Rhinolophus ferrumequinum: one gene and its partner. The protein of the gene in region 1 purifies or fractionates together with the protein of each later gene. This does not show direct contact. Links are inferred from orthologs where the notes say so. Each region holds a gene or a part of one and is shown on either strand. Other genes may lie near its edges.

Evidence for each region.
Region 2: the proteins of ACVR2B (region 1) and INHBA purify together in Homo sapiens (affinity purification with western blotting; 3 studies listed by BioGRID and IntAct, with this or other methods). This does not show direct contact. The link is inferred for Rhinolophus ferrumequinum from reciprocal best matches to the Homo sapiens genes ACVR2B and INHBA.

The regions. Positions count from the first base shown.
Region 1 is NC_046300.1:14,075,368-14,086,612, forward strand, and holds the start of ACVR2B (activin receptor type-2B), read right to left. Parts: upstream 5,116-11,245; 5' UTR 5,046-5,115; coding exon 4,994-5,045; intron 1-4,993. UniProt on the Homo sapiens protein: Transmembrane serine/threonine kinase activin type-2 receptor forming an activin receptor complex with activin type-1 serine/threonine kinase receptors (ACVR1, ACVR1B or ACVR1c).
Region 2 is NC_046303.1:55,260,764-55,271,667, forward strand, and holds the start of INHBA (inhibin beta A chain), read right to left. Parts: upstream 4,829-10,904; 5' UTR 4,739-4,828; intron 2,733-4,738; exon of another isoform or gene 2,699-2,732; intron 2,234-2,698; 5' UTR 2,109-2,233; coding exon 1,721-2,108; intron 1-1,720. UniProt on the Homo sapiens protein: Inhibins/activins are involved in regulating a number of diverse functions such as hypothalamic and pituitary hormone secretion, gonadal hormone secretion, germ cell development and maturation, erythroid differentiation, insulin secretion, nerve cell survival, embryonic axial development or bone growth, depending on their subunit composition.

The DNA of each region.
Region 1 (11,245 bases):
GCACCTGTTGCGGGCACTTCTGCCCACTACACCTCCCCAGGTCCAGAGGAGGAAGCCCGGCCCTGAGGCCAGCGTAGAGACCTGTGCCCGTACCTTTAGGGAGAGGCGGCCCCCCTGCCCGGGCGTCCCCGGGTTCGGAGCTCCAGGCCCACAGCTGCTGCGGCTCCTCAGGGCGCCACAGCGACGGCCCGCTCAGGGGAAAGGGCATGCCCGCCGCGTCCTGCTACAAGCCCCGGCGCTCCGCTGGGCCCACGCTGCCCGCCTCAGCTCCCGCGGCTCCCAGGTGAGCAGACAGGGACTGCTGGGCGGCGCCGAGGCCGCCGCAACGGGCCCTCGCTGACATTCTGCGCGTGTGGGAGGGAGGGAGGGCGAGGCAGGAGCGCAAACTTCCAGGCGGCGGTCAGAGGCGGGTGGGCGGGTGCGGGCGGGCACGCTGCCCGGCCACCCACAACCGCTGCCTCCCTGAAACCCGAACCACTTCTGGGAAAACTCAAGGACGCCAGGATTCTCCTCGGTGGCCGGCAGTGCTCCTAAACCACTAAGTTCCAACCAAATTCGCCCACAATGAGCAGGTTAATCAAAGCACGAAATCTAGACTTTGAGGAAAATCCAACATCCCACCCTGAATCTGATGGGGGGGTAGGTATTAGCCACAGAGAACCCTACCTCTCACAACTGTCTGTTTCTTTAAAAGCATGAGAACATTCTAGATCAGAGGTTCTCATCCAGAGGTGATTTTGCAGCCCCGCCCCACCCAGGACATTTGGCAATGCCTGGAAACATTTTCAGTTTTCACGATTAGAAGTGCTACTGGCATCTTGCGGGTAGAGGCCAGGGATGCTGCTAAACATCCTACAGTGCCCAGGACGGCTCTGCTCGCAGCCCCCCCCACCCCCACCCCCACCCACACAACAAAGAATCATTAGGTCCAAACTGTCAGCAGTGTCAAGACTGAGAAACCGTGTTCTAGAATGAGGCTCACCCAGCCAGGACCCTGCCAGAGGGCTGCGTATCCAGTGTCATTCTCAAAAGTATCACCCAGACCAGCACCCCCCCAGCCCCCAGATCACAGTCTACGGTAACAGGCCAGTAACTGCAGGTGGATTTAAACTCTGACCTCATGTCCCTTTGTCCCCACTTGTACTACCCTGAGCTCCCAGGCTGGGAGCTGAATGCACTGGCATTCAGAGGAGGGGGAGAAGGAAGGGGAGGAGGGGACCAGGGCTGGAATCTGAACACTGGGCGGCATCACAAAAAGCAGAAGTAAAGAAGTCACGTACAGTGACTAGAATAGGTTAAGCTGAAGCAGCAAGAAGGGAACAAACCCAGGGTGCCCCAAGGACAGCCAGCTGCCCCTCAGGACTGGTACAATGGGTCCGTGCAGGCTACCAGGACTTCAGAGTCCAACCCAGGGGACCACAGGTTCTTGGTATCAGTGCAGATCAGTGCGTGTGCATGGATAACCTGTGCATACACTTGCACACACACACACACACACACACACACACACTTATCTGTATTTTCTTGAGGAAAGGGTCCACGTCTTTCATCAGACTCTCAGAGGAGCACATGATACAAAGAATCATGGTGTAGGACGGGGGCTCTCCACTGGTCCCTACAAAGCAAGTTCCTTGGGTGAAGTGCTAGGGGAAGTCCAGGTCCTAACGGGGATCCTCCAGGCCCAGAAAGACCCCACAGAGGCCCACCAAGCTGTGGGAGGCCATGGGGTTCTGGGTCTTACGTTTCCAAGGCCTGGGGGATGGGCAAGTTTCTCACATCATGTATCTTGGAAGAGCCTCCAAGAGCTGAGGAAGGGGATCACTCCTCCCAAAGCACAGCCCAGCCAGCCAGGCAGGGCAGAGCGGGGGTGCCCAGCAGATACAATGGCCGTGGCTCTGCGGTCCATGTCCTTGACAGTTACCACTACTGGGCCTGGGCATCACTTCACCCACAAACATACACTTCTCCCCTGAGGAAACAGACAACTCTGGGTCAGAGTAACCAGCCTCTGAGGGCAGGCTGGAGCAGTCAAGGCCTGCGTTTCCTGAGAGGACAGACTAGAATTAGGTCCTCCTGCCCAGCTAGTAGCTCCTGACCTTCCACAAAGAACTCCCTGCCCCCACGCGCCCTGATCTGAACCCCAAGTCCAGTACAGAGACAGAGATCAGCAGCTCTGTGGGATACACAGATGTGTGTCTGGGATGACCACATGCAAGATCCAAACCAGCAATGCAAGCTCCAAACAACTTGTTTCCCAAGGACACGGGTACAGGCACAAAACACAAAGGACTTGTGGCAGTAATTGAACATGTACCATTATCACAACAGAAATTCTGCCGTTTCTTCTAGGTCTGTGCCATCCAATATGGTAGCCATGAGCCACATGTGACTGTTGAGCACTTAAAATGTGGAAAGTGTGAGTTCACATGTTCTCTAACTATAAAATACACACTGGATTTTGAAACAGTATAAAAAAGAATGTAAAATGCCTCGTTTTAATATTGATGAATGTTGAAATGATTATTTTGCATATTTCAGGCTAAGTAAACACATCATTAAATTTCACCGTGTTACGGATTGAATGTTTGCTACCCCCACACTGATATGTTGAAGCCCTAACACCCAATATTTGGAAATGGGGCCTTTGGGAGGTAATACGGGTTAGATTGGGTCATGAGGGTGGGGCCCTCATGATGGGGTGAATGGAAAAGGAACAATCTCTCCCCCAGTGAGTGCCAACGAAAAGCCACGTGAGGACCCACTGAGAAGGCAGCCATCTGCCAACCAGAAAGAGGGCCCTACCAGGCTGGGGCTGAGTTTGGACTTCCACCCGCCAGAACTGTGAGAAAATAGTGCTATTTAAGTCACCCAGTCTATGGTATTGTTACAGCAGACTGAGAAGACTAAGACACACCTGTTCCTTTCTTTTTCTTTTTATTCACATGACTACCAGAAAATTTTAACTTACGTGTGTTGTTCACACTGTATTTCTGGTGGACAGAGCTGTTCTGAAAGATCTTCCTTCTACAAGGACACGGTATGCCACAGGGAGTGGGAGTAATTCTAACAGCAAGCCAGGAGCTTGACAAAAAGGGCATCCATGAAGTCAAAGGAACAGGAGGGCCAGCTCTGTCCCCACTTGCGCCTGGGCCAGCTCTTCCCACGGTTCCTCACAGGTCAGAGCAGTGGCCCACCAAAGGACTGGTTGGTGTGACCACAAGAAACACCATGCCCCTCACCTTTCTCCCAAGGTAGGAACACAGGTTGGTCGACTTCAATCTAACTCCAGCTGCCCCACCTTGCAGGGTACTGCCCAAGCCAGGAGGGAGGAGCAAAGGGAAAAGGAGGGAAATACAGCGCTTGGGGGAGGGGGGAATCCATCCCGCCCTGCCTAATCGAAGAGGCAAGTGAGTCCGGTGAGGATAGTGAGACAAATCAGGAGAGGGTTTCGGGAGCCCAGGAATGTCCAGGACGGTTCTAGAGACAGCCAGGTGAACTGTGCGTGCCTATTAAGTCAGCTTGCTGCCACTCTCCCCTCTACAGGCCAATGCCATCCTTTCTTTGGGAAAAAGCATCTCAAAGCAGCACTTAAAAGGGACTAGGGGCAAAAAGGAGAACAAGGTCAACACCACCACGCCGCCTCTACCACACAGTTAACGGTTCCAAAAGAGCCATGACGCCCTCCCCCAGATACCAACAAGGTCTCTATCCTCTGGTCCTTGCATGCAGGTTAGGCAACAACAAGCCCCACACAGAGAATTCACTTGCTTTGATGTAGACAGCTGAACCAAACTACATTGCAAATGAAGCGGACAGAGTCGGGGGTGGGAGTGGGATGGAGATCCCGGATCCCTACCCTCCCGGCAGCGCGGGGATCCCAGCCCCGCCCCTGCACGCCCGGCCCCGCCCTTCGCGGGTTTCCCAGACTCCGCGCTGCTGCCACCTCGGGCAGCTAGGGACCCGCGCTGCATGTGTAATGGGGGCTGGGAACAAAGACGCGCAAGACGCAGCGCTCCGGCTGCCGCGCACCAGCGGCCCAGACCGCCCCAGACTTTCCCTGCAGCTTCAAAGCGCGACTCTGCACGCTTCCCAGGGCTGCCTGAAGCCATCCTAACCGGAGCGCCGAGCCCGTTCCTGCGCGCACACCCGATTTGGGCGCGCCTCAGCACCGCTAGAAGAGAGAAATCGGTGCTTCGACCTAAAGGAAAAAGCACCTTCCTGGCAGAACACTTCAAGTATACACCCGCACCCACACACCCTCAACCACACCAGCGCGAGCCGAACGCTAGCCCCGCGAGCCACCCACCCACCCCACGTGCTTCCCAGAGGCCAGAGCGAACAGAGACCTGTTGGTTTTTCTTCTCGCCCCACCTCCCAGCCCAGGCGCCCAAAACAAAGCGGTCCCGCGGAGTGGCTGCACCTCGCGCCCTGGCCCCATCGCAGGGAAAGCGGGCGCAGGTGGGAGCGGGTGCCAGCATCCCGCCTTGCAATACGACACAGACCCTAGTGGAATGGGATGCAGGGGACCCCTCCGAGAAGCAAGCCCCTCGTTTCGCTACACCTAGTGGCACTGAGGGTCGCGCAGCCCTCCCCCTAGCCGCTGCTGCTGCACCTACAAACCCGACATCCTGGGATTAGATCTGCCCGCCCCGCTTGGCTACCTTCCCTACGCTCTGGTTTTCCTCTCATTCTCCCTGGGTTCCACGCTCCCGTGGAGCCCGAACCCCGACCCTGGGTCTCGGCCCCCATCATGGGGTCGCCACCGCGAACCGGAGCCCTGCAGACCGCCGCACAAACAAGATTCCCCCCACCAAGATCAGCGAGCGGGGCGCCCGGCGCGCCCCCAGTCCCCGCCCCGGGAGGTGCCAGCTGGGTGCAGGTGGCGCGGCGAGGAGGCCGCAGGGGCCCTCCCTTTGTTGGTAAACACCACGCGTCGCCCGAGGCTGGCCCCGCGCGCCCTCCCCGCGCCCCCCACGCCGCGCCCAGTCCTTACCCGCGCACAGCGATCCCCAAAGGAGGGCGAGGGCCGCCCAGGGCGCCGTCATGTTCCGCGGCGCCGCCCCGCGGACACCCGGAGCCCGCGGGCAGGGCCGCGCGGCGCTCCTGGGGCGCGCAGGGCCCGGCGGCGGCTGCGCTCTCCTTCTCGCTCCTTCCTTAGGTCTCGTTCCCAGCGCACTTTCTGCGCCTTCGTCCCCGGGCAGCGTGCTGGCTCCAAGGGCCGGGCGGCGAGACCGGGTTCAGGGCTGTTGCGGGCAGCGCAGGCTGCGGCCCGGGCTCCGGGACGACGCGGGGACCGGGGGGCGGCGGTGGGGCGCGGGCCGGGGCGCGCCCGATTCAGGCATAGCGCGGTGGGGCTGGGCCCGGGCCCCCGGCGCAGGGGCCGAGTCCGGAGGGGCCATGAACGGGGGGAGGGGTGGGGGGAGGGGAGCTGAACCGAGTCCAAAATGGCTCCTGAGCCGCGGCCGCGGAGCCGAGCCAGCGGGGAAACCCGGATGTTGGATACAAAGAGGCGGGCGAGCTGGGCGGGGAGGGGGAGGGGAGGCGGGCCCTCTGGCCGCGTGGTCCGCGCCCCCCTCAGGGGCGGGGCTCCAGAGAAACAACAACAAAGAGGCCCCGCCCCCAGCCCGCGCCCTCCTTGAGGACGCGAGGAATCCTAGAGACTGGAGGGCCAGTCAGGGCGCGCTTGCAGAGGTGGCGGGGTTGGGCCCTGGACCATTTTGTCCCGGACTCCGGGACCTGTACCCTCGGCACTGTGGATTCATGCTCTGCGCGCTGGAGCCCACGTTCCCGAACGCTGCCCTGCGACCCCAAAGTAGGTGAACAGCCCTAGGACTCTGGCCTGGATTCCTCTTCGCGCCCACCTGTGAAGTGGGGGTCATAGTGAACCATAGGAGAGTCATGTCTGTATCGGCAGGAAAAGGCTGACTTCTCTGAAATGACAACTGGCCCCGCACGTCTATAACCCCACACCCCACACACACAAAGGCACAGCTGGAGATCCTGAAGTCGGAACCATCCCAGAGAGGGAGGGCGCCGAGCCCCGCCTCGCAGAGCAGCAGCCGATGCCAAAGGGCCTTGGCAACTTGCTTCCCCGCCACTACTCCATTTGGGCCTCTGCACTCCCCCACCCTCTTCAATCTGCACCTTCAAAATTGTTCGCAATTGCCGCCAGTCCCCGCAGTTGAAGATCTTGTCTAGAGAATGGCTTCGCTATCCCTCTTCACCCCAGATTCCTTCTTGGGGTGGTTGTTCTCCATCTCAGATTCCACCTTCTTTATGACACAACCACAGTTTGGGAGGGTCATGATGGGGCTCCCAGGTAAAGAGGAAAAGCCCGTCACAGCTCAGGGATGGGATGCAAGATCCTTGGATACAGAAATTGTCCTCCCTCTTCTCCTGACTTGCCACAGACTTTGTTAGCGCAGGAGCAGCCAGGAGGTGCTGGAAGTCTGAGTTATTTCACTTCTCTAAGTCTCAAATTCCTTACACAGAAAGTGAAGAGGTTGGACTCCCGGGCTTTCCATTTTTTAAATAGTAGAAACCTTATTCAAACAAAATTTTATGTAAAACTCCACCATATAGAAGTTGATTGAAGTTGAAATGAGGCTCCACCATCGCCAGGTTCCCAAAGCATCAGGAACACTTCCGGGACCACACTTTGGAGTCACTACCCTGAAAGATTTCTGGGTTTTTAAAGGTTCCTTCCAGTTCTGGAAAATTCTATGTTGAAATGACAGCCCCTCCTTGCCAGTGTTTTACCTTTAGTCCCTTTCTAACTACATTGATGTCACTTTTATTACTGTAGCTTCCTAAAAAGTTCTGTGAATTTTCTATGTCTGATTTGAATCCACTCTATGCACCAAAAGCCATACCCACAATTATTTTTCAGCGCTCTCTCTCTCTCTCTCTCAATCCCTAATACTTTAGCTATATCAGGCTGCTATGGGACAAGAATCTTGATAGCTGGAAGTCATTTAAATCAGCTGGGTCTACTAGACAGTGCCTTGATTCTTTCCAAGGTCTTAAAGTATCTTTCAGCCCTTGATTTTTACTTAAAGCCATGTCTTAAATTTGATAATCTTTTATTCGCTTAAAGGGATGGAGATGAGAAAGTTATTTTTTCATTCTAGCACCTTTATATTCCCTCTAAATTCTACTTGAAATCTGGCTAGTTCTTTTCTGAGTAATAGCTGACATTTTCAACATTCTGCCTAGGAATTTCTCAAGCCAAAATGTTCAGTACGTACACTTATCTTCCAAGTCACCACAGGTACTCAGTTTGCCTGCATTTTTTCAGCCTCCAATAATTTCCTCACCATTTTTCCTGTCTCCACCTACAGCCCAGTTTCAATGTCACATATATTCGTTTTTATTCTTGGCAACAATTTCTATATGTTATCTATTGCTGTGTAATAAATCACTTTACATCTCCATGCTTTAAAGTAATAAATATTTATTTAGTTCATGAATCTGCAGTCTGGTAATTTAGTTTGGTCTTGACTGGGCAGTTCTTCTGGTCTCATCTGGACTCACACACGTCTGGGGCGGTTACCCTGTGGATGGTCCAGATGGCTTTGGTCAGGCTAGCTTAGGCACAAATTTTTCATGAAAAAGGCAGAGCAAAGTGAGAACAATTTCAATGGCATAACGGCTTTTCAAGTCCTTGCTTACACCATATTTGTGAAAATCCCATTGGCCAAACTTGCGTAGCTGAGCCAAGTCAGAGAGGGAGGGAACAACAAAATTCCATGGCAATATAGATATACAGGTGTGAAGAATTGGGGCATTTTTGCAACATCGTATAGGGATCGATGTTGTATTTGCTTTGTAAAAATAATCTGGTGCTTTTTTTCCAGTGTTCTGGGATACATTATATAGCATTGGGATTGATTGGTCCATGAAGGTTTGGTAAAATTCCCCTGTGAAACCTACCGTGTTTCCCCCAAAATAAGACCTAACCGGAAAATGAGCATTATTTTTCAGGATGCTCGTAATATAAAATAAACCCTAATGCATCTTTTGGAGCAAAAATTAATATAAGACCCGGTCTTATTTTCGGGGAAATATGGTAGGACTTATTTTATATTACGAGCATCCTGAAAAATCATGCTAGGACTTACTTTCCGATTAGGTCTCATTTTCGGGGAAACACTGTAGTGTCTTTTTTATAGGGTAGTTGACAATCTTTTCTGTTTCCTTTATGAAAATTAGTTTGTTTAAACTTTCTGTCTCTACTAGTTATTTTGGTAAATTATATTTCCCTAGGTCATTACCATTTCATCTAGGTTTTCCCATTTATTTGCAGAATTGTAGAAAATACTCTTTAATATTTTGTTCCAATGTTAATTTTTCACTATTATTTTTATTTTGTGTATTTCTGCTTGCCTCTCCTTACTTCTTAGCTAGTTTATTTTTATTGTTTCAAATAATCAAAATACCACTCATTTATTATTTTTTCCTGTTTTCCTCACTTGTGTGATTGTCGTTACTTATTTCCCCTTTCTCTTATTCACTTTTTTTTTTGCTTTTTGAGTATTTTAAATTCATCTTTTATTTTTATCAATGGTACAGTATTTTAAAACTATATTTCACCTACCGTTTTAATTAGACTTTGTTACCAATCATTCTCTAGAAACTCTGAAATTTGGGTTTATATTCCTTTGTCCCAAGAGTAGTTTCACAGAAAGTCTTTCTCTAGGTGTGACTTTTAAAAAACATTTTATTAATTTCTCATTTTATTGCATTGTGATTAAAAACTGTATTATTTCTATCTTGTGGAAATTTAGATGTTTTCTTTGCAGTATAATAAACGGCCAATCTTTGTGAGGATAAAAGGTGTATTATCTATTATTCCTTAAAAGTGCAAAGTTCAATATATATATTCAGAAGATATACTGATTCTGTTGGAATCTCTAGGTGGGAATCAAAGACTATCATTTGAAGTTGACAAACCAACCGGCTGATGCTGTAACATTCATAACCAGTGTGTCTTCATTTTGAATTGTGGCTTTTAACATCAGTGTCCTTCTTTGTCGTGTCTAATCTTTTCCTGAATTCCATCTACCTTGTTAACATCGATACTGTAATCTGCTTTTCATAATTTGTATTTGCTGTTATATTGTCGCCCATCCCTTTCCTTTTTAGCCTTTCTGGGTCACTTACTTTAAATGTGTCTCTTGTAAATAACAGCCAGTAAGATACTGGTTTGTGAGCCAATCTGAAAGTTTTTAATAGAGGAGTTGAGTCCTTCCATTTACTAATTTGACGCCTGCTTGTCCTTCCAGTTGCTGTGTGTATGATGTTACATTTACTGCATGTTTTTCACTATGTGATCTAGTGCCTTTATGATTGTCTGTTTGGGCATTGAGGGAGATGTCTACTTTTATCCTAGTGACTATCTTTATACTATACTGTTATCTTTATATAATGCTTTGTCTCCCTTTTTCCTTAAGCCTCAACTATTTGTTCTGTCAACCTAAAGTGATACTGTTTGATTGGCACATATTGTTTCTGGCAACAAAGAGCTCTTTGTACTGTCCGCTTCCTCTCTCCCTTTTCATTTATAGTTGTGTTGCTTTTACCTTGTTAAAACATAGACTATTTGATACTATTCTTTCACCCTTATCCCTACGTTCATTTTGACCTCAGATCTAAAATTAAAGATATTCAATGCTCACTACCAGTCCTTTTGTGGAAGTTTCCCCAATCATCTCCTACTTGGATGAAGTTTGTCTTTGTAGAATCCTAAGGGGTTATTTCCTGAGCTATTGCATGATTAAAACATTAGATAGATAGATGATAGATAGATAGATAGATAGATAGATAGATAGATAGATAGATAGATAGATCTCCTTGATACTTAGGACAGCTTAGCTGGATACTAAACACTTAGTTCAAATTTTTTAAGTTTCTTGAAAATGTTGCTCCACTGCTACTTGCTTTTTGAGAAGTCTGATGCCAACCTGATTTTTCCTTTGCAAAAGACTAGGTCTTTTTGACCTAGTTTTCTCCTCACCTTCAAAGTGTAATAGTTAGGCTAGGATATGTCTTAGTTGATCATTCTGGAACAATTTTCCAAGTAACAAGATAGGCCCCTTCAAGATACAGATTCAGGTCTTCGAGTTTTCAGAAATTTCTCTTGGGGTACAGTTTTAAATATTAACTCTGTTCCACTGTCTTATCTTTTGGCTTCAGGAACTCTGATTTTACTTGTTAATCTTTTTTTGCCTGTCTTTTTATCCATCATTTTCTTTCTGGGCCTTTTTAGCTCTTCCTTTATATTGTTTTTGCGGTCTTAGCTTTTTTCATTCCTTTCTTCTATATGCTTTACTGTACTTGCAGTCATATTTACTTTAATTTAGATGTGTTGTAATGCAGTCTTCATAATTATGATGATTTTATCTTTTTATTCAAACTCTTTCCCAAGTTTGGTCAGTTTCCTTTTCACATATGCCTGTTGCTTTTTCATTTTTATTCTGAGTTTTTGAATTTCTGATCTGTGGTATTCTTTTATATTCACAATTGTTTTTTAATTATTTTAAAATTCGTATTTCAGGGTTGTTTACTTTGTCCCATTTTCCTTTTGAGTATTTCATCAGCTTGAAAAGTTATGATTCTCACTCCGTTTTCTTCCTATACTTGTATAAATGGTGAATTCCTTTTGCTATTTATGTTGGCATGCGTGCAATAACAGGCAACTCTATGGGGGCAGAGGTAAAATGGAGAATGAATCGAGTGGCTTTCTCTGCTTCTTGGTCCAAAAAAGCCCTTTTCTGTTGGTCAATAATGTAACATTTCTTTAGTAAGGAACGTCTACGTGGCCATGGCGGGGAACAGTCCATTTTCTTCTGAATCTTTGACTTGCTATTGATAAGCCATCATCATCAGCTTCTTGCTTCCTTTTTTCCCCTTTACTCGCCAAGCCTGCAAGGGGCACCACTCCCTTTCAAGATGATGTCATCTCTCTGGTCCCACTCATTTTCGAAACCCCTTCCTTTTGACTTCCCACAGGCCACGGCTCTGATCCACCAGGTTTCAGACCCGTTTGCAGCATTTTCCACTCTGGGTGAGACCATAAGCAGTTTGGTTTAACTAAAGTGCCAACAAAGGCAAAGGCCTGTGGCAGAAGAAAAATCTGGAGGATTTTGCAGGAGGCAGATCACAGAGGACTTTCTACGGAGGCTTTTGCAATAATCTGAGCAAGGAATAAAGGGGTCTAAAGTAAAACAGGAGGAATGGAGAGAAA
Region 2 (10,904 bases), on another chromosome or scaffold:
TGGCAAGCGGGCATATTGCTAGGGGCAATGTATATTAAAGGTGGTCAAAGGCACAGATAGGTGTACTTAGTCATACGCTGTGGTAGAGCCAATTGAGGAGCTGCAATGAAAGCTATCATGTGTGGCACCTGGCCTATAAAAATATGTAGAGGGTCCCCTTTGTGTCAGGACAGAGAGCAGGCCTCTCCACGACTTCTATCCATTGTCTGTGCAGGACCCAATGTCATCAGGCACTATCTTTCCCACCTTGCCATCAGCAAAGGTTGAGAAAAATTGGGAGGCAACTTGAAAACTCCTGACTTTTTTCCTTAAAAAGCTTCAAAAGATAAAGTTATAATTATCATGTCCTTTGAGGTGTATCAAGAAAGAGTGTTAGGGAAAGAAAGTTAAGAACTTCTTTAAAAGGAAGAACCTGCTAGTGACATAGCTAAACTGTCCTTCCAGGAAGCTTGCAGGACCCCAGGCCTTCTCCTGCAGGGAGAAGCCAGGAAGCCAGCAGGCTAGCTGCTCCCCCAAAAGGATGCCCATGTCTTGGAAGGTCCTCTTGAAAACAGAACATCTGAGTCAACAGGTTTTCAGGATTGGAAATTCTGAGTATTGCCTTTATTGTTTGTACTGCTGCCGCAGAAAACTTCTAAACAGAAATGCTGGGAGCCCCTGCACATACTTTACTGGCCATATTCTCTACCAAACAAAACAATGGCACTCCTTTCAAATCGACCTGGCAAGTGATATGATTCCTTAGCCTGGCATTACCATGAAAGTAACACGGTATTAACACATCTGTGTGCCTGGGCGTGCATGGGCTTGTAGAGATGCAAAAGGATCTGTGTCACATAACTGTAAAAATAACCTGGTCCCAGGTCTCCGCCTCCACTTTTGACAGGTATTTTCTATTCAGCAACAGGTTAGTGTGGTCCTGAGCCAACGATTAGAATCTATTTATTAAAGTTCTTCCTCTTAGGATTGAGTGAGAGTTCAGTGTAGTATCTGAGAGCACTTTGTCAAGGTTGCATTCCTTGGCAGAGAGCTCTTAGTAACTTTACAGAGAACAAAACTCTTTTTTTTTTTTTCCTCGGTTCAGAGAGCAAAAGTCAGTGTTCCAAAAGTGACTGCTGGTTCAATGTCAGCTGTCCCCCAAAGTCGCTTTTTACTGCCCAGAATGAGATGCCTGTGCTCTTCGCCTTTCTAAAGGTAAAAATGACAGTCACTAATAAATGTGCCCTGCTTCTCTGATGTGGCCCCTGAATGGACTTTTAAACGGAAGGTTTGTTTAAGACAATGACTGCCTCTGTGCCATTCCACCCCGCCCCCACCCCCGCCCCCAATAAACTTGGGATGGGGTCCGGAAGCCTCCCTGGCCTCCCCCAGCTCCCCTTGCACCCGAACATGCCCCGCCTTTCATCAGGCTGCTCAGACCAGGTCTCACAGGCAGGGCGAGGGAGACTCTCTCACAGAACGGCTTTCAGCTCCAGACTGGCCCTAGAGCTTCCTCCGGATGACCCGCGGAGTTCAGCAAGTGGAAGCTAGCCACCTCCAGCTAGGGCTCAACCACAAGTCCCTTTCTCAGTCCTCTCCCGCTCCCCGGCCTCCCCTCCGCCCGCCCGCCACCGTCACCTAATAACTGCTGACCCTCCCAGGCAGTTTAGAGCTGAAGGGAAAGAAGTTGCTCCGAGGACTGTCAGAGAAACACATCCCCACCCCCCGTGCCCGCACCCACCTGATTCGGCGAACGTGATGATCTCCGAGGTCTGCTCCATCAGTTCATTCATTTCTGCCCTCCTTCCGATGTCATCCTCTATCTCCACGTACCCGTTTTCCCCCACTTTGCCCACATGGAGCTTTCTGATAGCGTTCAGAAGCGCCGCCTTGGGCACCGGCTGCGTGACCTCGGGTCTCTTCTTCAAGTGCAGCATGTTTAAAATGTGCTTTTTGACGGCCTCCACCATCTCCGGCTGAGCGTTGGGTACATCCTTGGGGAGGGTGGTCAGCGCACAGGACGGGCAGGCGAGTTCCCCACTGTGCCCCTCGGATCCCGGGGTGGGGGAACTCCTCACTATAATCCAGCAACTCGCCAACAAAAATCCTCGCAGCCAAAGCAAGGGCATCCTGGCAGCAAAAGTTGTTGTGGTTGCCTTTTTGAAGGCCCTGCTTTCCCCCCTCCCCTTACGCACAGGTTTTTTGTTTGGTTTGTTTTGGTTTGGTTTTTTCCTTCTCCTCTTCAGCAAATTCTCTGGAACGAGAACAAAAAGTTTTCTGTGAAGTTTTCTTTGCAGGTTCCCTCTCTGAATGCAGTCAGTGCTGTAGGTTTGTGGCTGTCAGGGAGGAGAGTTCTGACTGTCTCGGAGTAAGAGAGAAGGAGGGAGGGAGGGAGAGAGGGAGGGAGAGAGGGAGGGAGGGAGGGAAAGACAGGGTGGGGGGGAGACAGAGACAGAGAGAGGATGGGAGGGAGAGAGACAGGGAGAGAGGAGAGAGGGGGACAGAAGAGAGAGGGAGAGAAGGGGGGGAGAGGGAGAGAGGGAGGGAGAGAGGGAGAAAGAAAGGGAGAGAGGGAGAGAGAGAGAACGATTGGCCCTAAGTGAGTGAGTGAATGGGAGAGGGAGGGAGTTTGTGAGTAAAGGCTGTCATTAGGAAGGGGAGGGACAGCCCGTTTTCTGACAGGCTGCTTTCCTTCTGCTCACTGCTCCCTCTCACACACCTCTCTTCAAATATCACCATTCTCGGGAGTGCTACTTTCCCTTCTGAAAGAAATCCTCCTAATTTTGTTCTACTTCCTTTTTTTTTTTTTTTTTCTTTTCCCAGTCCCCTTGCTTCACCTTCTTCCTCTTTTGGAGGGGAAAGAAAAACCCCAAGTAAATACACTGTCTCAATCCTCAGGGATGACTTGATTGAAAGAGTCTGCCCCCACCACCCCACCAACCCCTCCAGCTACAGCCCTACGGGACTCAGAGCCCACAGGCTGGTAAGGTGGGGCTCAGGGTCCCAGAGGTCTGGGGACAGGTAGGGAAGGTCGGAAAGAGGGACTAGAGGCCAACAGTGCTGCAGGGGCCAGTCAATTGTTCTGACCTGAGGGAATCCTGCAGGTCTTCCGTTTCCCCATTCATTCATATTTAAATGTCCAGGGCCGTCTACACTGGCAGGCGATCTGAGGGGAGTGCAATAGAACTTTTGTTTGGGGTCACATAATACACTCTACTTTTCCCAACTGCAAAATGCCACTGGGCATTGAAAGATCCACAGGCAGGCAGGCAGCATTTTACAGGCTCAGGACACAGGAAGCCTTTCCCCTCTCCCTAAGTCACTACCACCTCCTGCCCTGCACATACACACTCACACTGACGAATTACAGCCAGCCACCACTTGCCCCGACTTCACAGATAAAATGCAAAATTCACGTGCCCTTTCCCACATTATTTTACACAGTGTGCTCCTATGACTTGAATAACTGGTCCTATGGGAAAATAATCTCTAAAATATATTGGCAAATTGTTTTCTCTGTCATGTGGGTAGTTTTTTCAGCCTACCCCTACCCCATTCTGGACCACTGTGCTCAAGGACTGATCCCTTGATGGCTTCCTTCAAAGAACAGCACAGATGAAATCATCGTGGATTTCAGTGTTCACAGAAAAAGAAAAATGTGAATTTTTAAACAATGCCTGAGGTTTTTTTTAATTCTCCTCCATCCCCCCCCAGCCCCCTTTTTCATTTTGTCTTATTGCTTTTATCTTGCAGAAGTATCTTTAAGAGGTCCATCTGTTAAAGCTTTCCTTCCCTCTGGGTTTCTTTCCCACACATAAGCCCTCTCAGTTTCTGTAGATATAGTCAGCTTATATCTGACACCTAGTGTGTTCAGAGCATTATAGTCAAGCAATACAGTTGGGGGGGGGGGGGGGGGGGGGAGTTAATAAACGTCATTACTACAAGCACAAGATGTGAGTGCAGGGGAGGAGAGTGAGAAAACTGTGACACTAAATTAAAATTATAGTTTGCACAGGTAACAATGCTTTTCTGAATTGGATACATTGTCCCCCTTTCCCAAAACAACTACTTGCAAGACTTCCTGTGTTACAAGCCATCTATCACCTTTAGGGTTTCACCTCCAGGAATATCATTTACTCTGCTATTATTGTTAAGACTTTGTCAACGTTCCCTAAAAAGTCTCGTTTTTTTTAGTGGGGGATGGTGAAAGAGAATGGGGAAGGGGGGCGTTATAATTGTTCAATAGATTGTCTTTGAAATATAATACTTAACATAATCTAGCTATTTGGCATCACATATACAGTATCCAAAGCATTTTGTAGTCCAATTAAGTTTTACAAGAGAGTCTGAAATAGAACTAAAAGTTTAATGACTCCAAACAACTCAAGGGTCCTAATAGTAGCATTTAGATAAGTGCAACTTATCAGTATGTGGATTCTATGTTCCCTAAATTTATGTGTGTATTCCCTAAATTTCCTGTTTGTGTGTTCCCTAAATTTACTGTTTGTGAATGTAACTGGAAAAAAAAAACAAACAGCTTTCTCTTTAGCATATGTACTTGTATCTATATGCTGAATGGGTTGCATAAACACATAATCTATTTGCATGCTCTACTGTTAAAAGCTGTATTAACTTGCCTGAATAATATTAAAAGGTACAAATCACACAGTACAGGAAAGTGCCAGTAAGTTGCAAATGTCTCCTAACCATTCTGACCATGAATGTGTAAATAGCTCACAGTAAGAATTAAAAGCATTACCTTCCCGTTGCTCTCTCTTTCACCAGCAGCTTCTTGTATCATGTGGTCAGAGCTGTCCGAGTTCCTCTTCATGGTACTGGCACTGTGAAGTTTTATACTGTACTACTTACTTGTACACTCATGCGTTGGTACCACTCAAACAGAGGAGGGCTGGGGCTTTGTTTAGGATTGGTTAGAATCAGCATGACATCAGCAGATGACTGGTTTTTCCAGTGTGAGACATATTTCATAATCATTATCTAATGGAAAGCCATTCTTAGCTGCTGTGACACTACTGGGTGATCACTGAGCCAGTTAAACCTCTAATTGACTAGACTGCTTTTAGAAAAAACTGGAATTGAACAGCTATATCTCATTGAGTGTCCAATTTCCAACTTTTCTTTTACTATTTGCACACACACTTCTCATTATATTCAGGTTCAGTTTTATTCTTCACATAAAACATCTGTTACTTCACGAAGTTGCCTCTATTTACAAAGTATTTTATTGTTTCTTACAGGCAAGAAAATTCACAGTGCTCTTTATAGGGATTCTAATTATACTTTTAAAAATAAGATATTTCATTGAGAAAAAAATAGGAAAATATGTATATCTATATGATGATGATCTCTCCTCCCCTGAGTTACACTATTATTTTACATCTTGAAATTGAATGCCTGCTTCATAAATCATTTATCACCAAGAACTTTGGAAATAGTCATTCTGTTCAAGTGAACCTTATAAGTATCCTTCCCAGTTCTTTAGAATCCCAATCTAACTAGGAAAAAAAGAAGCAAAAAACAAACAAACAAAACCTCTCATACATCGTTCTTTATCAGAATTACAAGTCCTATGATTTCTAAATTGTTACAATTTCTAAATAACATGAGATTAATGAAAAGAAGTGAACATTCCTTCAAATAGGGGTTAAATTGGTCAGGGTCTTCTTGGCTGGGCTGGAGGGGTATTAGCAAGTCTGGGAAATAACACAGGAGGAAGGAGTCTTCAGACAAGGATGGTGAAGCTTAGTTTGGAGGAGTATACCTACAGCATAAGCTGGGTCCTCACCACAAGTTGAATAAAACGTGCAAAATTGTTTGGACCTAATGAAAGCCATATGACCAGATATGTTGTTTTGTATGCAGGATTTAACATGCATAAAATAAACTTTTCACTGTGCCCACAAGCAAAATATGGAGCCTCTGGCCTCCTGATGTGTAGTTTAGGCAGGTTCCTTTAGGACACCAAAAGTTTTCTGTGTAAGAGGGTTTGCCTTGGCTAAACACAGAGAAAGTGTGGATGCCTAACAGTATATGGGGTTGGGGAGCCTTCTAAGAACTGTATATGCAGAAATGAAGTAGGAAATTAAATCATTAGGTTGTAGAGGAACAGAAGGAATCTGAGAGGGAAAGACAGAAATAGGATCAGCGTTGGTTAACTGCATACCTGACCATCCGTTTAGAATTGGGTGGACTCAGCCTCTTTGTAAGAAAGGAATTCCCCCCCCCCCATTGATGAGCCCCCACGGAGAGCAATGGCCTGCAGGGCATCTCATCTCATCTCCTCCCCCATGCATGAACCCTAGTGTCCCAGAAATGCCACTGGATGTATGAGTTTGGGGCACACAACCAACCAGGATGGAGATCTGGGTCCCACTGCTTACTAACCATGTAACGTCAGCCTCGGTGTTCTCATCTATAAAGTGGGATCCATTTCTGAGATGACTATCTAAACATTTATGTCACAGGATTCTACAGCTCCCGGACTAGAGAAGCCACCCTAAATGTGCGACTCAGACTGGCTGTGCCATCAGATGCCCACCTGCCAGGTCAGCCCACCAGCTGCGATGTAGTTCTCTACCTGAATCCCCAAGCTCAGAGCTGAGACACACTGGAAATGCCTCCTCACTCAGTGGAAATTAAGGTGGGGGTGGTAGAGGAAGCAGGAAGGTCAAAATAACTTCAGTCGAATATTCTGGACTGGGAGTGCTCTTTTCCCTTCCCAACTTCAGAGCCCAGGGGGTGAGCAGGCTAGCCCAGCTCCCGACCAGCATCTCCCGTTCCTCCTTCGGTCGGTTTCTCTTTCACTTCCTGCCCCTCCCCCAGCAGCTCCCACCCCGGCCCTGCGCCCGGCTGCTCTGCTGCCACCGTACCTTGAGCAGCACCTGCTGGCAGCTCGCAGGGATCACGCCAGAACGCGACCGCCAGGCCCTGCACAGCGGCCGCCTCTATTTTTACCCCGAGCACCAGCAAGGGCAACTGTTTCCAGAGCAGCTTTTTATTCTTTCCCCCTTTGGCAGCTAAAGAATTCGGGGGGGTGGGGTGGGGAGGGGGGTTGGAAATCACTGTTCTGTAAGTGTAGCTGGGAATCTCTGAAACAGCCCTCGGTGCCAGGGCCGAGAGCGCAGCCAGTCTCAGGGACCCGCTGGGGACCTGCGGGCCGGCTGCGGGGCGGACTGAGACCCGCCGGGGGCGTTGACGCCGCAGGAGCCGTCCCCTTCCCGCGGGGGGCATTGAGTCCTACCGGCTCCTGCGCTAGCACAGCGGCCTGCTGCCAGCCGGTTTTCCGCCTAGTGCGGGCGGAGGGATTGACCCGCCACTTCTCAAAGCTACCAGCTTCTCGCCGGAGCATTTGCAGGGCTCTGCTCTCGCCTAGAGGAGCTGCCCCTGGAGAACCCGGCAAAGCAGCTTGCTGCTACAAGAAGCAGGGAAGGAAACTGTGTGGTACCTTATTTTACTGTAATTGCAAAAGGCACGATGTGCCAGAGATGTATATTTAGAAGTTGTATGTTTCTACTTTTATGTAAATGGCACAATTAGGGCCTGCCTTACTGCTGCTAACTCCAGGGCTTGTGCCTTGCTGCAGAGCTGGTGTTTTCAATCACAGTTAGTGAGCTGGTCAAAAACAAAGTTCATTTAAGGATAAGAGCTCAATGGTGCAACCAGGGGAGAGACCAGCGTCCCTGTGCCTCCCTGTGGCCAGCGGTGACACACACCTTCGGGCATGTCTAACCTATAGTGGTGTTTACCTATGGCAGTAGCTGTCCCCCTATGAAGTTGGCATGGAGCAAGAAGTGAGAATGTTCATTTTTCTTCTCAAGCAAACCGTATGTCCTTCAGCTTCCATCCATGCTATTAATTTGGTCTCTTTGCTCACTACTCCTGGAACAAGGAGACAGCCCTAGAAAAGGAGGTTGTTTTCATGGCTCTGTTATTTTAGCTGCAGCTCATGCATTGCTGTTATTCACTGAAAAATACACGCCAGGAGACGTGAAAAACCCTAGCAAGTGACTGGGAAATTGTCCTCTGATTCAGCTGAAATGGCACGAGTCTGGGTGTTCAGAGCACGGACTAGCCTGCTGACAACTCAGGGTGTTTGAGTTCCTTCTTATGAAAAATCTGTTTCCAAAAAAGCATGATTTCTGGTTCATCCTGTCTGGGAAACTGAACATAAAACGTGACTATGGAGAGAAATCAAAAGGACTCGAGGTGTTCACAACAGCTGACATGTTATTCTGGGCTCAAGGCAGGAAAACCTTGCGGAGTTGAGGGGCGGTGACTCCTTTGGGAGGCAGCTCAGAATCCAGAAAATCTGGGCAGGATCAGAGTGATATCTGCTGCAGTGAGATTTCAGGAACCTCCTCAGATGGTGTAGGCTGCTAAGGGATTGGCAAATCCTGCCTGTTCCCTGGACAGCCAGAGCTTGCCCATCACCTGGGCTGAACATTAGGTAGAGAGATTTGGGACGAAGAAGGACCAGCATGTCATGTTCAAAATTGAACTGAGAAGCTGTTCGCTTTTAAGTTAAATCAATAAATGAAGAGAGAGAGAGAGAGAGAGGAGAGAGAGAGAGAGAGAGAGAGAGAGAGAGATTAAAATTCTTCCAGAATTCATTAGAAACTAAGAGTCAGAAATAGTTCATCCAAACTGTCTTCCTAAGCCACCATTTCTTTGAGAATCCTACATTTCTCTGCATAGCCCACAAGGCCTTGTGCTATGTATGTGTGCTGTGTGTTCAGAATATTTGGAATTGCCTTTTCTGAACAGAAGGAACCCAGAGGCTAGAACTAACATGATTAGGGAAAGAATAAAAAAAGTAAGTAAACTGTTATCCTTCACTCTAGAGCAGTGTTTCTCAACAGGGGTGATTTTGCTTCCCAGGAGACATTCAGCAATGTCTGAAGACCTATTGGCCTGGCAAAACAGGATGGGGTGGGGGTTGGCGCTAGTGGCATCCAGTGGGTAGAGGCCAGGGATGCTGCTACACATCCTACAATGCACAGGACTGCGCACACAACAGAGAAAATGTTGCTTGTTCCACAGTTGAGAAACCCTGATTTAGAGTTATACATTTAAGTTTTATCTAATTCCCTTCCCATGAAGGTCCTAAGAGGCCTTGACAACTATGCAAAATATTCATAATCCTAATGATTCTTCCTCCGCATGTGTCTTGTGCTTCCTGATTAATGGAGGCCCACACCATCAGCAAAACGGACACAGTAAGAGCACCTCTTCGGCAACGTTGCTGTTGTCCCAACCAACTTTCCAGTGTGGCTTCAGTAGGTTTCCTGCTGGCTTTGTGTTCTAACCAAATGCAGAATCTTGGTGATCAACAACAAAATGAGATGAGCTGGCCCACACCCGAGTTGTCAGGAGGCAACAGACTCATGGAGAAGAGTAAGCGAATGAGGAATTGAGTTATTCACTTTAGCAATTCAGTATCTGATAAATCTATGCAATAGAGAATTCCCCAAAGTAAAATTCACAAAAAGTGAGATTACCATGCCTTTCTCCCAGAGCAAGTGAATATGATGTAGCTTGATTTTATTTGTTTAATATGTTAGGGGAATGACACACAATCAATATCCAAAGAGATAAAACAGAGCGCTTTGCTAAATCCTAATGCATTTTCCAAGCAAGATTATATTCTCCAAACTTTCTCTTTAAAAGGAAGTGGTATGACTGTTGAAAGAAGACCATGCTTCTTCAGATGTTGCTCTCCTGTGAGTCCTAGAGAAACTATTATGAAGGACCCCACATCATGGAAAACAATAATAATCAACAAATGTTGGTGAAGCACACAAAAGAGAATTTGCCTGGATCACTAGCTTAGGTGTGACGTGCCATCCCCTGCATGCTGAGACCAACTCCCCTGAGTCATCACTTACTCTCAGTGACCTGGATCATCCAGAAGGAGAGAGTCGGTCAGAGCCTGTTGTAAGATGAAGGGAGCCATGAGGGGAATGTCTTAGACACTCTGACGCCGTCTCATCGACTGTAGCATGTGAATCAGTCTCCTCAGGTAAATGGTCAGTTTGGAACCAAAGACCTGATCAACTACCAAATGATTCAGAAGTGCCTGGATTTCCTCCCAAGAAGTAACTAGTTAGTACTTGTGAAAAACTCAGTACATAGAGAGAAATCATCATTTATAACCTCTATAGAAAAACATATACTGAAAAAAACAACAGTAACACTAACTCAAATGAATAACTACACCCCCAAAGTCCTTCCTGGCCAACGTATATTTTGAAGTTGATTATCATAGCTCAGTTCTGATCTAATCAGGAAACATCTGCCACAGCAGTTGATCTTCCTGTTGCCCAGAAGATTATGAGAAGTACTCACAAAAGAACATATAACAGCTGTTGCAATAGTTTTTCTCACCTGGATCCCCTCGGGTAATAAGTTCCATGTTGCTGACTTAAGGACATATAGGTTTAGCATCTAGATTCCACTGGGCTTAGATAAGAGAACAGGAATCCAGTTTCGCCTGTCCACAAAGGTATCTCACAACCTGTTCCCAAATTATAGCTTTAGAGGGGAAGACGGAATAGGCTGGGGGCAGGCCTGGGTTTGTGTGTGTGTGTGTGTTTCTTTTAATTGGTGAGTTGCTGTCTCCCTCCTGTGCTGATAGAGGGTCCAAAGGTTCTGCCCTGTGTTACAGCGCCTCGCACGCTGGAACGCCTGTGTACTTCCATGGGCACTGACAGTGTGCTCTGGCAGTGGCTCAGCTCGGTTAGCAAATATTTCCAGGTGCCCCACTCTAATTTTAGGAAGGTCAAGTTTGCAAAGGTGAAATTGCAAGCAGGACTTCTGTTAGTTTTTATCAGCTTGGAAAAGCAAACTAATTAAGCACAATATTCTGAGTGTTTAACTGGAACCACTGGATTCTACAGCTAGTCTTG